4 linked regions of the Macaca mulatta genome follow. The protein of the gene in region 1 interacts with the protein of each later gene in a pairwise test. Links are inferred from orthologs where the notes say so. Each region holds a gene or a part of one and is shown in the gene's direction. Other genes may lie near its edges.

The links.
Region 2: the proteins of TOLLIP (region 1) and TOM1L1 interact in binary tests that used the Homo sapiens proteins (3 or more experiments, as listed by UniProt). The link is inferred for Macaca mulatta from reciprocal best matches to the Homo sapiens genes TOLLIP and TOM1L1.
Region 3: the proteins of TOLLIP (region 1) and TOM1L2 interact in binary tests that used the Homo sapiens proteins (3 or more experiments, as listed by UniProt). The link is inferred for Macaca mulatta from reciprocal best matches to the Homo sapiens genes TOLLIP and TOM1L2.
Region 4: the proteins of TOLLIP (region 1) and ODAM interact in a two-hybrid assay, tested with the Homo sapiens proteins (2 studies listed by BioGRID and IntAct). The two-hybrid records come from large-scale screens. The link is inferred for Macaca mulatta from reciprocal best matches to the Homo sapiens genes TOLLIP and ODAM.

The regions. Positions count from the first base shown.
Region 1 is NC_133419.1:1,219,000-1,222,499, forward strand, and holds part of TOLLIP (toll-interacting protein), read left to right. Parts: intron 1-1,906; coding exon 1,907-2,121; 3' UTR 2,122-3,500. UniProt on the Homo sapiens protein: Component of the signaling pathway of IL-1 and Toll-like receptors. Inhibits cell activation by microbial products. Recruits IRAK1 to the IL-1 receptor complex. Inhibits IRAK1 phosphorylation and kinase activity.
Region 2 is NC_133421.1:55,064,556-55,068,751, reverse strand, and holds the start of TOM1L1 (TOM1-like protein 1), read left to right. Parts: upstream 1-1,396; 5' UTR 1,397-1,436; coding exon 1,437-1,494; intron 1,495-4,196. UniProt on the Homo sapiens protein: Probable adapter protein involved in signaling pathways. Interacts with the SH2 and SH3 domains of various signaling proteins when it is phosphorylated. May promote FYN activation, possibly by disrupting intramolecular SH3-dependent interactions.
Region 3 is NC_133421.1:19,534,498-19,538,544, reverse strand, and holds the start of TOM1L2 (TOM1-like protein 2), read left to right. Parts: upstream 1-1,247; 5' UTR 1,248-1,248; coding exon 1,249-1,300; intron 1,301-4,047. UniProt on the Homo sapiens protein: Acts as a MYO6/Myosin VI adapter protein that targets myosin VI to endocytic structures. May also play a role in recruiting clathrin to endosomes. May regulate growth factor-induced mitogenic signaling.
Region 4 is NC_133410.1:63,701,690-63,705,822, reverse strand, and holds the start of ODAM (odontogenic ameloblast-associated protein), read left to right. Parts: upstream 1-1,333; 5' UTR 1,334-1,368; coding exon 1,369-1,404; intron 1,405-2,124; exon of another isoform or gene 2,125-2,128; coding exon 2,129-2,194; intron 2,195-2,291; coding exon 2,292-2,333; intron 2,334-2,874; coding exon 2,875-2,922; intron 2,923-3,528; coding exon 3,529-3,762; intron 3,763-4,133. UniProt on the Homo sapiens protein: Tooth-associated epithelia protein that probably plays a role in odontogenesis, the complex process that results in the initiation and generation of the tooth. May be incorporated in the enamel matrix at the end of mineralization process.

The DNA.
Region 1 (3,500 bases):
GCAGCGATCTCCCCTCCTGTCCCTTCTCCGTCAGACTGGAAAAGGCTGGAGAGAGTGGCAGTGCCGAGCTCCATTCCTCCTGTTGCCATGCTGTGGGGAGCCGTGTGGGCAGGGACAGGTGATGGCTGAGCTCCTGCCCCCCTGCCGGCTGGGGCGCCCAGAAAGCCACGGGGGTCCCGGGGTCCCTCCAGGACAGGTAGCGGCCGAGCCTTTGTCTTGTTTGAGGAAGAAGAAAGGGTGGTGAGGGTGGCCACGTCCCCACCTGGCTGTGGTTTGGTTCATTTTCCCTCATTGCTGAAAGGCTGATCAGTGTGGGGATGATGCTTTCCCAGTGAGGTGAGGTGTCCGCTGGCCAGGGCAAGAGGCAGGCGTGGGCGTGGAGGAAAGGTGGGCCTGGCCCAGAGAGAGCCGGGAAGCGGAGGAGGCAGGGGTGGGTATGGAGGAAAGGTGGGCCTGGCCCAGAGAGAGCCGGGAAGCGGAGGAGGCAGGGGTGGGTGTGGAGGAAGAGTCGGCCTGGCCTGGAAGGAGCTGGGAAGCGGCGGCCTTCCTTTCTGAGGAGCCCCGGTCTTTACAGCTGGCACTGGAGGCTCAGTGGCCAGCCCCGTCCGCTCCGTTTCCACCACTGCAGGTCCTTGTTGCCGGCGTTGGTTCAGGCCAGAGTTGAAATGGCTTCTGTTGCCTTTAGGGTCCTCCGAGTGTAGAAAGGAACAAAAGTCCTATCCTCAGATTGGGGCTCTAGTGCTCCAGTGAGCCTAGCTGGGAGATCGTTCGTGCTTTTAAAGGTGAACGAACGGGTGCGCGGTGAACCCTTGCCCTGCTCCAGCTGCTGCTGCAGGAGGAGCTCTGTGCCTCGCTGGTTGCTGAGCCCTGCACACGCTGCCTGTGCTCAGGGCTGCTTGTGGTTTTAGGGAATGGCCACCAGGCTGGGAGGCGAGCTTTAAGTCCGGCCACACCGTGCCTTTGGGGTGTGTGTGCTGCAGTGGCTGAACCACTGTGCAGCTCCTGCTTGATAGATTGCATCTCAGTGTGTCCACCCGCATGAGACACGGGGCGAGGGGCCTGCGTAGCTGTGGGGTGGTGATGCCAGGAACCCTGGACGGTGGCCCCAGTACACTGAGGGTCCCCGTGCACCACACCTGCTGCCTGACTTGCGTGAGTTTTGTGAGCATTTTTTGGTGTAGTTTGTATGTGTGTGTGGTTGTCATTCTGGGCATCGGCTGCAGCTTTGCTGATGTCTTCAGTGCCTGTGGTGGCTGCTCAACCAGCACACAGTTCAGTGACACACTGGCCAAGCTGCAAAAGCATCTTGTAGAATGCCTGATAAAGGAGGAGGCTCAGACCCTGCAGTGTTCGGATCAGCGGGCGTGACATTTCGTGTAGTCCGTTCCCCAGATGAAGAGAATGCTGTGTGCCCTCTGGTCAGTGAAGACAAGCGTGTGCGGTGCAAATTCACGAGTTCTGAAGGGATCAAACCACCACCCCCCAGCCTGCTAGTTAGAAAACAGGCTCGGGTGAGATTTGAAAGATCAAGCTTTGATTTTTGTGTGGAAGGAACATGAGTTAGTGAAGGATGCGTCTCAGAGACCCCTGCCCTGCCTTCCCCGTGGCTGTGCCTGGGGACCCCTGCCCCGCCTTCCCCGTGGCTGTGCCTGGGGACCCCTGCCCCGCCTTCCCCGTGGCTGTGCCTGGGGACCCCTGCCCCGCCTTCCCCGTGGCTGTGCCTGGCGTTGCTGTTTGAGGGTTTGTATTTCCAGGGTGTCTTTCGGGACTGGTGTTTGCTGAGACCCGAGGGGGCCCCTCCCTGAGGAAGGCCGGTGGGATGCGTCGTTTTCTTCTTTCAGCAGGAGCTAGTGTGGCACTTCTGGAACCTTCCGATGTTTTTACCAAACTTGATCTTTGGTTCCAGGGATGCCCGCCGTCTGCAGCCCCGGCATGGTGCCCGTGGCCCTGCCCCCGGCCGCCGTGAACGCCCAGCCCCGCTGTAGCGAGGAGGACCTGAAAGCCATCCAGGACATGTTCCCCAACATGGACCAGGAGGTGATCCGCTCGGTGCTGGAAGCCCAGCGAGGGAACAAGGACGCCGCCATCAACTCCCTGCTGCAGATGGGGGAGGAGCCGTAGAGCCCCCGCCTCGCTGCCGTGTCACCCCAGCTCTTCGGACACGCCGACCGGGCGCTCCCCAAGGAATGCTGTCCCAACAAGATCCCCGTGACACGGCCCCTGTCGCCCCTCCCATGGACGTCTGGGCTGCCCCGCCCACGCCCGCTCTGGGTGCATGGGGGTTTTCGGTTCCTGGCGGCCCAGGACGGGGCGGGGGCTCCCTTCGCCTCTTGTGCTGGGAGGTCTCGGCGCATTCTCCTGCCCCCAGGACGTGCGTCTCCCCTTCTCATGCTGTTCTGGAAAATGTTCTTGCTGTAGAGAGCAGCTGCTTCTGCCAGGGTGTTGGAGGTGGTGGAGCGCCTTCTGATTCCATTCATGGCATTTTGTGATGTGACGTAATTGGAATAGAGCTGTTGATTAAGGCACACACAATCCCTCACACTGATTTGTGGGTTTTTTTAGAACTTCCCAGCCGAAAACTCACGTCCTTGCCCTAACGCGCTTTGCTGTGAGCCTGGCCCCTGCCCAGGGCTTGGGTCTGGTGAGCCAAGCCGCTTCCTGTGGATGGCGTGGGGCCGGCCTCTGGCCTGGCTCACCTGGCCACTGTCCAGCCAGCCTTGTGACAGACTCCAGCCTGAAGGCAGGATGAACCCACACCTGGCATGAGGAGGGGAGCCTGGCACGGTTGGCCGGGCTCTGCCTGATTGCCAGCCAGCGGGCATCTGAAGCCGGGTCCTTCACCCTCAGGAGGTTGCCGTCCGTCTGTCCTGCTGCTCACGCCAGCTCCGTGGTGTCCCCCCAGGGGGCTTCTCTTCTCAACAGGCCTTGCAAGGCTGGGGTGGGAGGTGATAGAGGCGGCATGTGCATGATTCTGAGAGGGTGTTGCAGCACTGCCAGCCGACTGCTGACGACAGCTTGGGCAGCTGCTGTGCCCGGGACCTAGGTTCAGTGTGGGCTCGGGAAGCCTGGCGAATGTGGCCGCGTAAAAGCTTTCTGAGGCAGGAGGCTCGCCTCACCTCTGCCTGCCTGGGCACCGCGTGTAGCATCTTGGTTTGCAGGACAGATTTTAGGTGACACCTGGTTATGAAAGTCAGGAATTTGAGAAACTTCTCACAAGTGATGCACTTTACGTAATCCGCATGCCATCGAGACGCTTGTGTGCGCACCCGCATGTCTGCCGTTTGTGGTTCAAGTGTCTGCCCCCAGCCTTCGGACGGAAACCCACTGATACGGACAGAAAGAGAAGGCCCAGTGGTCTTCTGTGGAAGATGCAGAAGGAGGAAGTTAGTGCTTACATTTTAGTCTTTTTCTCCCTCGAAAAAATAGGTTAAGTTTCAGTGTCAGCTAGAAAATACTGCTTTCCGCCACCGACTGGGGGTGGTTTTTGTCAAATATACTGT
Region 2 (4,196 bases), on another chromosome or scaffold:
ATAAATGGCACCATCTGAAATAGTTACTCGCCCTGAATAGGCAGGTGGAGAATATTAGCTACAGATGAGACAAATCCCATTATGAGAAATATCATCACAACAAGAATATTTCATTCCAGATTTTAGAATCCCAGGTTTTGGCTCACTTCGGTCAAGAAAAACTATAAATAATTGAGTTCGAGATAAATAATTAAATGTTAGCCTCTTGGAGTGCATGGCAATTGGTTTTGATCTCTATATTAAAATTCACAAGACCACGGACATAAGTCAAAACAGGTCCCCTTCGTCTCCCTAGTCACCATATCCAGGGCTAAAAAACAAACTTGAAATGGGTGCCAGTTAGACTATAGGAAACAGGATCTACAAGCACCAGGAGCTCATCTATGGCTATCTGACATGGCCTGGGGACGCATCACTCTCTGGCAGCTGGAGATTGTTAACATCGCCAATTCAATGTTAATTGAATGCAAAGGAATAAGAAATAAATTCTGGTTCCCAAAGGGCAGCTGGAAAGGTGTTGGGCTTCTCAAACTCAGGCCTAAAACCAAGCATCCTCCTTGCCAGAGGAAACGGAAAGCCCCTCCCCCATTTTTAGAATCAGGCTGGAAAACACGGCTCCCAGAAAGTGGGGTTAGAAAACAAGAGCTTGCGTGGCGGCGCCCTGTGGTCCCTCGAGGAAACAGGAGAGACACAAAGAGGGCCTGCTCCTGGGAAGCCCTAACTTCGAACCCAATCCTTCCTCCTAGACATTACCTACAGCTTCAAAGGGCAGGGCGCACACCTCCCCTCCCGCATCTGTAGGGCGAAGGCAGGTCGAGGGTAAACATTTCTAGTTATTCAATTTATTCAGTGGTTAACTATTTTGTGGGTACCAGACACCGACCTAATCGGTTTACGTCCTTCCCTTAATTCTCACAATTCTGAATTTGTGTTATTAACCCCTTATTATCTTTGGTCTACCAAGGGCAGCCAAAGAGGCGCAGAGAAGAGTGACAATCTGCCTAGCAAGCGGCGGGATCAAAGCCTGGGTCTCTACTTCCCAAGCTGGAGATCTTGGGCTTCCTGCTCCTCCTGCGCGGGGCGAAAAGCCCACCTGGGATCCGAGCGGGCGGCCGCGCCACTCTCGCAGGCTCCATACGCCCACCGCTGCCCGCCTGTACCACCTGCAGCGGGCAGCGACGCCTCCTTGCCGGTCCCGCAGGGCGCGCTGCAGGTGCGCGGGGCGTCCCGAAGCCCCGCCCTAGCGTCCCTGCCCCGCGCCCCGCTCCTCACGCTCGGTACCCGCGCCCCGCAGCGGCAGCGCACAACGCACCGCCTCCGCCAGAGCCAGGGAAGCGCTCGGGCGAAGAGGAGGAGCCAAGGGTACCGAGCGGGTGGAGTCGGGAGCCAGAGAGCGGTGGAGGCGGATTTCCTGGGCCCGGCCCTCTGGAGCTACCATGGCGTTTGGCAAGAGTCACCGGGATCCCTACGCGACCTCCGTGGGCCACCTCATAGGTAAGGAGGCGCGGGGAGAGACGCCCAGGCAGGCAGGGGACCGTGGGATCCTTTCCTGCTTGATCCATTCTCGGCCTGCAGAGGACGGAGTTAGTCCAACTTGGAGAAAATCCTTCCCCTCCCCCAGCAACTTTCCCAGGGCACCCGCATTCCACCCGGCCCCCTTTCGTCCGTTTCCTTCTTGGCCAACTCACTCTAGAACCCGCAGTCCTCAAAAATGTACCTTCCTTTCGATGTCTCCTGGGGAGTGGAACCAAACAGGTGAACCGCGGGAGTCAGGCATGGAGTATTTGGGCCTCCACAAGGAGACACCAGAAACTTGTCGGCCAGGGGAAAGTTATTCCTAAACGCACACTCTCTAGGGCACGGTATTGTTATGCCCGTTTTACAGAAGAGGAGGCTCTGGGAGACTAAGTGATGTGACCTTACTGTGAGGGGCAGGTCTCCCCAAACCAGTTTTCAATAGTGCCAAGCTTATACAACCTGGATTGCTTTTCTGGGTAAACAAAGATAATGAAAATGCTTGGCATTGGAGTGAAGAGGAGGGGAACAGAGGAGCCATCTGGGGGCACGGAGGTCTCTTGCAGGCCACTAGGGACTACACCGGCATCCACCTAAAAGATTTCTCTCTCCTCCGAATGTACCTTGCATGATGTATGTAGAAGCCAGTGATTGGACTCTTACAAGCACCAGCTCACTGCTCCCTCTTTTCCCTGATTCCTCCCTTGGGAATTGGGTGTGGCACGAGTGCATATTAATGCCAGGCAAAGTGTGATGATGTCAGGAACTTAGTGGGGTGATGAAATCTTGAGAACCTAGTAGTTGTAGTAAAGAGGCCGAGATTTGGAAAATTTAGCTCACAGCTCTACTAACTGCCGTGACACCGAACACACCACTTAAACAGAACCTTAGTTTACACATCCTTATAAAATGGTCAGAGTAGCTACCATTGAGGAGATGCTTTCCCTTGATGGCTGTGCTTTGTTGGATATTAGAATGAACCCTGAGCAGAAATGGGTTCCGACTGTATCTTCATAGGCAAAAGAAACTTCAGCAATTCATCTGCTTAATTTTTTAATTCTGTAAACATGGACTAACTGTCAGCTATGTGTCTGGACCTGGATCAGGCACTGGTAAGGCCAAGGTGAGACGTGATCTCAAACCTGAGGGAACTCATTTTCTTGTAGGGAAGACCGCACGGTTTTGTGCCGCACCTTTGCAATGCAAGAAAATGCAAAACACACAAAACTTACCGGAAGGGAGAAATGAATTCTACTGTGGCTTTTGAAGGGTGAATGGGAGTTTTCTAGGAAGATAAGCTTTGTCCATTTGGTGCCAAATTCAAGTTTTGTTTGTTTTTTGTTTTTTGCTTTTTTTTTTTTTTTTTCTTTTTTTTGAGTGTCGCTCTGTCACCCAGGCTAGAGTGCAGTAGCTCTCGGCTCACTGCAACATCCGCCTCCCGGGTTCAAGCAATTCTCCTTTCTCAGCCTCCCGAGTAGCTGGGACTACAGGTGCACGTCACCACGCCCAGCTAATTTTTGTATTTTTAGTAGAGATGGAGTTTCACCATACTGACCGGGCTGGTCTCGACCTCCTGACCTCAGGTGATCCACCCGCCTCGGCCTCCCAAAGTGATTGGGATTACAGGCGTGAGCCACCGCACCCGGCCTCAAGTGGTTCTTTTCCTTGATTGAAAGCAAGCCAAACTTTGGGGTTCCCCGAAACAAGTCCTTATTCTTTCTTTCCCTTCTCTATCCTTTTTGGTTTTTTCTCCATTTCCCCCAGAACCCCGTGTTTTCATTCTTAGGGATCTTATCCTTCTCTTAGGAAGATGTTAGCGCATTCATGTTGAGTGTTCCATTACCCTTTCCAGGTAACATCTTGTATTGCCTGATTATCTAATGATAGGGTTCCAAGTGCAGAAACATTCTGGTCAGCCTGGTGCAGCTGTGGTTAGTTTAGATGCTTGTTATTATTAGTTTGGATAGTTACTCAGTGCCAGTTTGAAACAATTAACACTGATAGTAAAAGTGTATGCAATGGAAGTTTTTACGTAGTCGAGATAAGCAGTGTCTTTGCAAGTATTGGTTGAAGTTATAATAATTGGTAAAATTAGAAGGAATCGTGAGATTAAGATGATAGGAGAATAAATATGTTACTATTATTTGGAGTTATGCCAATATTTTGGCTCCTAAGACCAACGGATTACTTCTCTCCTTTAAAAATTCTTTCCTCCTGTCCCCCCAGAGAATAAATTATTTTTAAAAACAAACAGTGAGACCAAACAACGTAGATTTGAATGCCAATTCTACTTCATACTGACTGTATGACTTTGGTAATTTCCTAACCTCTCTCAACTTCTGTCTCATCATCTCTAACAGTGGGTTAAATGAGATTGCATATGATAAAATACGTAGCACTATGCAGTTCACCTTGTAGGTAGCTGCTCACTAAGCCCTAGTTCCCTTGTCTGAAAGCCAGGCAGGTGGAGATTTAGCTGGCCTGGCCTGGGCCTGTGGCCAGGTATTGTGCTTGCAGTCTTTATTAATAGATCACTCATTACTGTTGCTGCAACAGCACTCTGAACTTGGGTTCTGATTGATTCCTGAATTACTGAGAACGGTTCCAAAAAAAATCACTTTGCCCTTTGGCAATATACACTTAATGACACTTGCTAGTGCAGCCTAGGCAGATTATTTCAG
Region 3 (4,047 bases), on another chromosome or scaffold:
TTTGCTCAGTGCACAAACATTATTTAAGTACATGTAAGCTCCGGAGGCTATAAAAAAGGAAATCCTAATGCCCTTATTTTCCAGCTAGGGAATCTGAGGCTCCAGGGAGGGAAAGGAACTTGTCCAAAGTCATACAATGAATTACTGACAGAGACAGATGCAGAACCTGAGTATCCGTATTCACATCCAAAGCAGTTTATACAGTACCAAGATGAAATCATTTGACAGTTATGAGGTCAGATATGATGGCTAAATTCTGGGAAAAGTTATCAGTGGACAGGGTACCTCTCTTTTATGAAAGGAGGCTGGAAGACGGAACCCCTTAAAAGTCGATTCTAGCCCTGCTCCCTCGGGAAATGCTCCCTTAGTATTTCTTTTTTATTCAAAAGCTTGATAAGCCCAGGACTAAAGGGTCTTGGCTGTGTCAGCACGACTGTAAAGTGGCTGGGAGAGGACCTACGTGCTCATTTTATGAGAGGGGCCGGGACGGCGTTCTCCGAGAAAAGGGTCACAGGAAAGAGTTAAGTCGGGCGCTGTCTGTCCCTGCGAGTCCTCCCTGAGCCTCAGCTCCCAGGTCTCACCTTCTCAAGCGCTGGGAACTCCGCTGGTTCCACGCAGCTGACGCGTCTCCCGGTTGCTGGGGAACCAAGCGCCGCGACTTGGTTGCTAACGGGAAGTCAGGAGGGAGACATCCTGGGTGAAAGTTGACAGATCACGTGACCACATCTCCTGGTGGAGAAACACTCCTAACACCAACCAGCCGTAGAGAAAACAAATGTTTCTCCAATCAGCACTTTCTATGGGCGGGGATATTCCTAGATTCACCTCTGTTCCGTCCTGCTATTTGAGTGATTGACTCGTCTTTTGTCCAATAATAGTAAGAATCCTTTAGATTGACCAATATTCTGAGGAATCAAAATGCGCAACTTCCTCTTCGGGGGGCGGGCCAGGGGAGGTGCCACCACGGCTGACAGAGACTGCGGTGACCTACCTCGCTCCTCGGCCCAATCGGACGCTGCGGGGTGGGTGGGGGCTTTGCTGACGGAGGTGTAACGGCCAATCGGAGGCGGGCTTTGTAGGTGTCCCCCAATAGAGACGCGGTAAGGGGGCGGGGCCAAGGTCCCGGCGCTCGGCGTTCCAGAGGGTGGGGAGGGGGCAAGTGTCAGTCAGGACGGGAGTCCGGCGGGTTACCGCTGAGACCTCGGTGGCAGACAGGGGGCCCGGGCCGCTGCGTGTTGTCCACCCAAGATGGAGTTCCTCCTGGGGAACCCGTTCAGCACCCCGGTGGGGCAGTGCCTCGGTAAGGCCGCGTGTGGGGCGGGAGGCTGGGCGACCGCGGCAGCTGATCCGGGTGGTGAGGACCGCGGGCCTCCTCTGGGCGCCGGTGCCACTTCACGAGCGGGCTGGGCCTCCGCCAGGCGCGGGTGCCACCCCACGAGCGGGCTGGGCATCCTGGTCGTCGGGCCTTCACTGGGCGCCGGTGCCACCTCACGGGCGGGCTGGGCCTCTGCTGGGCGCCCGTGCCACCTCACAGACGGGCTGGGCATCCTGGTCGTCGGGCCTTCGCCGGGCGCCGGTGCAACCTCACGGGCGGACTGAGCCTCCGCCGGGTGCCGGTGCTATCCCACGGGCAGGCAGGGCATCTGTGTCCTGGGGCCTCCTCCCGGGCACTGGTGCCACCTGACAGGCGCCAGTGCCACTCTGCCAGGAGGCACCCCGAGGCCCAACTTGAACTCGGAGATGCCCCAGGCTTCCCTGCCCATCAGGACTCAGCCCTTCCTTTTGCTTCTAGAGGTGGTACCAACTGCTGGTCTGCTTCCCCAATGCCCTTTGGGAGATGCCACTGCATGTGTCTTTATCCAGCCCAGCAAGCTCGCTGCCACTGCCCCAAGGACCTAGTTCTCCCAGACCCTTTGTGGGATGTCACCTTCTTCTCCATCTTTGTCCCTCCTCTTCGGTACCAGCAACCATCAGACTGGGCACCCTCCCAGAAATGCCCCCTGCTCCGGGACTTGCTAATTTGAGCTGCAACTCAGCTGGGCTGTAGGAGGGACTGGGATGGGAGGAGGGGCTCTTGGAGGGTGATTATCTTGGCAAGGGGATGGCATGCCTGCAGTGCCTCCCAGGAAAGAAGGGAGGCTGTGTTATTTAATGACAAGAGCCCTGGTCTGGGAATTATGGAAGCCCAGACTCTAGCAGTGGTTTTGCCAGTGACTTCGTATGACCTTGTGCCCTTTCTGATTTGAAGTTCCCCTGTCAAAGTGTTTGGAGATGAGATGTGGTAGGTCCCTTAAACTTCTCAAGTTTTGATATTCTTTGTAGTACTCTGCACTTTGACTGTTGCTCCCTCCCCTACCTCATATTATATTTACCAAAGCTGAAATCTTTTGTTGGCAATGTAGAGAGAATGTTATTCAGGATTATCTGTTAATCCTACAGAGGGGATGTGGACACCTGGGGACACCAGAGATGGCCAGAATCCTGGATGAGGAAAGCCCAAAGTGTAGGTAAAGGAATACTGAAATGGCCACCATATGGGACTTCCTTAATAAAAAAGCAACTTGCCTTTTCACCCAAGGCAGTGGCTTATGCCACTTGATCAGTCAAGAATGCTGATTAATTTGTTTGAAGACTGGGTTCCTCCTGGTTGGTTGAAGGACTGGTAAAACATCTTTTATGAGCCAGGATCTTTGGTGTTCTTATGGGCCTGATTTTGGCAGTAGTGATTTGTTTATTTTCTGCTTTGCTTATGAAATTCTAGCTTACTTTCCAGCCTTTAGTGGGTCCTGGGAACTTATTGAGGTCTCTCCTGTTAGCTAATTAGCATTTTGGAGCCTTTCTTTACTTTCTGGCATAGTATCTTTTTTAATGCATGATGGACCCCAAAAGAGTGTTTTCCCACCTTTTTGACATTTTGTCCCTTGCTGCCCACTGGAGAGTCTCTGAATTTTCACTTCCTAACTTCTTCCTCGTGGCCTTTCTCACTCTCTTCAGGTTCTCTTGCGTGGCAGCCACACTCCAAAAACTAATTTCCAGCCAGTTAATGGAGGGAGCCAGAACACTTGGGGGAATTATTTTCTCTTCTGTCCTCTTTAAAATAGGAAGCTCTACACCTTTAAAATGACAAGGTCGTAGATGAGGGGTAGAAGTTAAAGGGGATTTAAAATACAAGTATGACCGGGCACGGTGGCTCATGCCTGTAATCTCAGCACTTTGGGAGGCCAAGGCGGGCGGATCATGAGGTCAGGAGATGGAGACCATTCTGGTGTAATACAGTGAAACCCTATCTCTACTAAAAATACAAAAAAAAAAAAAAAAAAAAAAAATTAGCCAGGCGTGGTGGCATGCACCTGTAGTCCCAGCTACTCAGGAGGCTGAGGCAGGAGAATTGCTTGAACCTGGGAGGCAGAGGTTGCAGTGAGCTGAGATTGTGCCACTGCACTCCAGCCTGGGCAACAGAGTGAGACTCCATCTCAAAAAAGCAAACAACAACAACAAAAAAAACCAAAAACAAATATAAGGGATGTAGGGATATATAGCAAGTGGAAAGAGCGTGTTATTTCTGTTAGGAAGACCTGAGTTGAATTTTGACCTGGCCCATTTCTTGGCTGTGTGACCCCAGAAGATTGTGTTGCCTTTCTGAGGTTTAGTTTGTCAGTCTTCTGAGAGAGAGAGAGAGAGAGAGAGAGAGAGAGAGAGAGATTCATATTCACAGAGTGATGTAGTTTAAATGAGATAATGTATGAAAACACTTAGCATAGTATCTGGAACATAGTAGAAGCTCAGTAAATTGAAACTGTCACTGTTAATAACAGGATACTTAAGTTAGGGTTGAATTTTCTATCCGGAGAGGGTGTGTGAAACAGCTGGCCCTTCTGTGACCTGTGAAGGACAATACCCTACCAGGCCCCAGGGTTCACCATTGCTCATAAGATGCTTGACTGTAAAGATGATGATGGCTCCCCATTGCCAGGTAGCCAATAGGTCATTTCAGTTCAGGTAAATGATTAATGGACAGAATGAGGTTCTAATGTATATTCTGTACTG
Region 4 (4,133 bases), on another chromosome or scaffold:
CACATTTGAACAGTTGGCTGCTTGTGATTGACTGTCACTCAGCTTCTTGTTAAAATAGTAGGTTACAGTTTGTTTAACATCATTAGGTTACAGTTCACTAGTATAAGAAAGCTTTAGGTCAAACTTAAAATACGTATGAAGGCAGCTTTAGGCTAAACTTAATTCAATTTAATACATTCTAATAGATAGAAAGTCCTAATGGTGGGTTTTCTTCTTTACCAAAGAAAAATGTCCTTTTTTTCTAACTAATGATTTATGTACTTGGATTTTTTTCACTAGATAAATAACAAATAGTATAATTACTTTAGTATTAACGAACCATGCAAACTCTGTCTCATCCTACCAAAAAAGACAAATTTACTAAAAGGCAATAATTTTGTTTTCCTGCATAAGATTATCATGAGTTGCTCAAGATTAAGTTAGCTAAAAAGAACTCTTCCATAATAAAAATTAATTGATAATACGTTGTCAAAACACTTGTGATCCTGAACTATCTATTAGAGGGGAGTCAATATTAACAACAAAAAAAACTACAAATAAATGCAAAACTCCCATTATGAAGGAAATTTAAATAATAACAATGTGGAAATAGTAATACTTACTTGTATTTTGAATATTAAAATATATAACAAAAACATTTTTAAATAAAAACGTATTCACCACTATTTTTTTAAAATGTGGGACATCATGCTTTATATTTATTAAATTACTTATTTCAAGCAACATGATCATATACAAATACATTTCGTAGACACATGGAAATGTAGCAATTTTTTATGGATTGCATTCAGTAAGTAGAGGGAGATCAACTGATGTTTTCAAGGTCAAACCTAAAGGAAACTAACCCACATTTACTTAGCCCAGCATTGAAGAAACAAAGAATTCTGCTAAGTAGGAGTTTTGCTTTTCAGACCTGTGTCTTCTAACAATTCTGTATTTCGCCCTTGAAGTAAAAATGATCACCCATTTATCCTTGACTTTACTAAAGATATTAACTTTTATTCAGTTAGGGTATCCAGTTTTATTCAATTAGGGTATCCAGTTTAAGAATTATAAAAGAAAGAGTAGAATAGAATTATTCTAGGAGAGTTATCCTAGGAGAGTTACTCATAACCAAACCAGAAGCCAGAAATGATCACAGGAAAACATTTCTCAGGGGATAATTTAATAACATTACTGAAAGTGTGGGAATCCATATACCACCTAAATGATTAGGAAAGAGGTTATTAGCTAAGCCATTGTCTGAAACCCACTGAATCACTGGTCCTTTTGAACAATGATTGGTCCTTTTTTTCTAAAGATGAGTTTTAAAATTTAAGAGAAGCACTAAGCAGCAGAGCTGAGAGAGGAAAAGAACACAGATCTTGCATGGTTCAGATTTTTCTTTATAGGTCCAGGAGTAAGGTAAGATATCAAATCTTTGCTTTTATAATTTGAAGAACCAAAATCAGTGAACTCTGCAGGATAGATTATCAAGTTCACCCTAAATGCTTGATTAGGTCAATGATTTGAACCAGGGAAGAAAGTTTCACATCTAGAGGATAAGAGAAATATACTTAAACAGGTTACACCATAAATCAACATCACACTTTAATTTTATACTCTATTTCCGTAAATTACAAAAACATTGACTCAGTTGCTTAGTTCTAATATGTTATTCTTAGACTACTAAGTGGAAATTATCTGGTTTTGGACTGGTATTGTCAAATCTCTATTGAAGTACTTTCAACATAGACATTAAAGTTGTTATAATAATAAGTCCCTAGTTGGTTAGCCCTAGTCATGACCTCCCATGGTCTGAAGGGCCTGCTCCTCTCCTTGTAGGGCAGCACCAGGAGATCATCTTGTTCGTTAATGCATTCAACCACATCATATGTCTCCAAATGAGTTTTTTGTTCAAGCTAAAAGGACAAGCAAACAATTTTGTTTTTTATAAACAGCTTGTCTGAGAGAAAATAGTTATATTGTAGAAATTTACAAATATAACTTTTTAAATTTTAAATTCCAAAATGTAAGTAAATACTATAGAATTCACCCAACTATTCCTTTGATTGAACAATACTAATTATTTTGTCATGAATTTTAAGTAAAGTCTTTATAAAGCTAAAGATCACAACTTATTTTCTAGATATATCACACAAAAATGAAAATTATAATTCTTCTTGGATTCCTGGGAGCCACATTGTCAGCCCCAGTAAGTGATTTTATGGCACTACTGATCTCATTGTGTTAAACCTTCAACAATCCCTTCTTTTTACTATTTCTGATTTCTTTTTCATTTTTACTTTTAGCTTATCCCACAGCGTCTTATGTCTGCCAGCAATAGCAATGAGGTTAGTTTAAATAGTTAAACAATCTCCTCCTTTCTTTTTAATGGAAATCAAGTGGGAAGAGATAAATGTCGTCATTTGGTTTATACTGTGTTCCTCTCCACTAGCTTTTATGTATATCCAAGCACATTTCTAATGTTCATGTTTGATTGTATAATAGGTTACCTCTAAAATATTATTCTACTTCCCTTGCTTGATTGTTAATTCTCCAAAGGCACATACAATATTGTTTATATCTTTTTGTTCTAATAACACCTAATACAGGTGTATATAGGTGTTTAAAAGCATAAAATGACTAAACCACTGGAATGAGCTAACATTGTGCAATCTCAGACCCAACAGGGGAGAGGTTGCTAAATCCAAACCTTGTTTTAAATCTAACTTCTAATCACTGTAATTCAATGTAAGCCTAGTGAGAAAATGTCTCATTTCTAACAAGAAATTGAGCAACCAGCTGTGACTTGTGCTATATTTATAGTAAACATTGTTCTTACTCATTTTAGTGTGTAGTAATCTTGATTTCATATTATTTTTCCTTTTCTAGCTACTTCTTAATCTTAATAATGGTCAACTTTTGCCACTACGACTTCAGGTACCTCCATTTCAATAATTACTTTATGGGGAACATTTTTCTATTGCTCATTTCTTATGTTATTTTGTATGAAAACAAAATGTTTCCTGATCCTATTTCTGAAATCTCAATTTTTAATGTTATGAATTTGTCTCATATATTCTAGTGACCATTTGTTTGAAGGTTAAAGTAAAAACTGTAATTTGATTAACACTTATTTATTGAGAACTTGGTATATGCCAGGCACTAATTCTCACAACTATGAGATAGTTAAAAGTAATTATTTCACACAAAGTCATGCCCAGTTAACCAGTAACAGCAGGTTGTGGGGGCTTAGGGTTAAGGTAGGGGAAAATACACAAGGTTTAAAACAAGTCTGGCATATGCAGATGTTGTGCTCTTTTATCAACCTTGTCCTGCCCCATATTTCTCATGGCCGTCGGGAATTTAGCATTTGCTTCACATTATTTGTTTGGTTCAAAATGAATCAAGATCCTGTCCTTTTTTATATTGCAACATCGGAGGTATAGAAATTGTTTGTATTTTGTCTCTTTCTTGCTCAGGACTGACCTTTAAATTCTTTTTGGCATGAAGGGAACATGCTTTCTTGCCTTTGTGTCTTTTTAGGGCCCACTTAATTCATGGATTCCACCTTTCTCTGGAGTTTTACAACAGCAGCAGCAGGCTCAAATTCCAGGACTCGCCCAATTCTCTTTATCAGCTCTAGACCAGTTTGCCGGACTGTTCCCAAATCAGATACCCTTCCCAGGACAGGCCAGTTTTGCCCAAGGAGCCCAGGCAGGCCAAGTTGACCCCTCACAGGCTCAAACACCGCCTCAGACACAACCAGGCCCCAATCACGTAAGTCAGGCCTCTCTGATTTTGTTCTGAGGAGAGAGAACTGCATGTTGAATTTGACAATGAATATGAATCAGCTTTGAAATAGGCAGGGGTTTTTGAACAATATTTTTTCTCATAATATGTTTCTACCATCACTGTAAGTTCTTTTTTATCTGATTTCTAAGATGAAAAATATTTAAATCAGCTACTCTAGGATACAGCAACAAACCAAAAAAGTTAAAAACAAGTCTAGGATAAGATAGGAAAACTTCAATAAAAGGCAGTTTATGTTGCTGACAGCACATGTAACACATGACGTTTTGTCGTGGAAACTTGCTAACAAATGATAAATTTATATGACTAGCTCTATGAAAAGCAGCTCAGAGATTTTA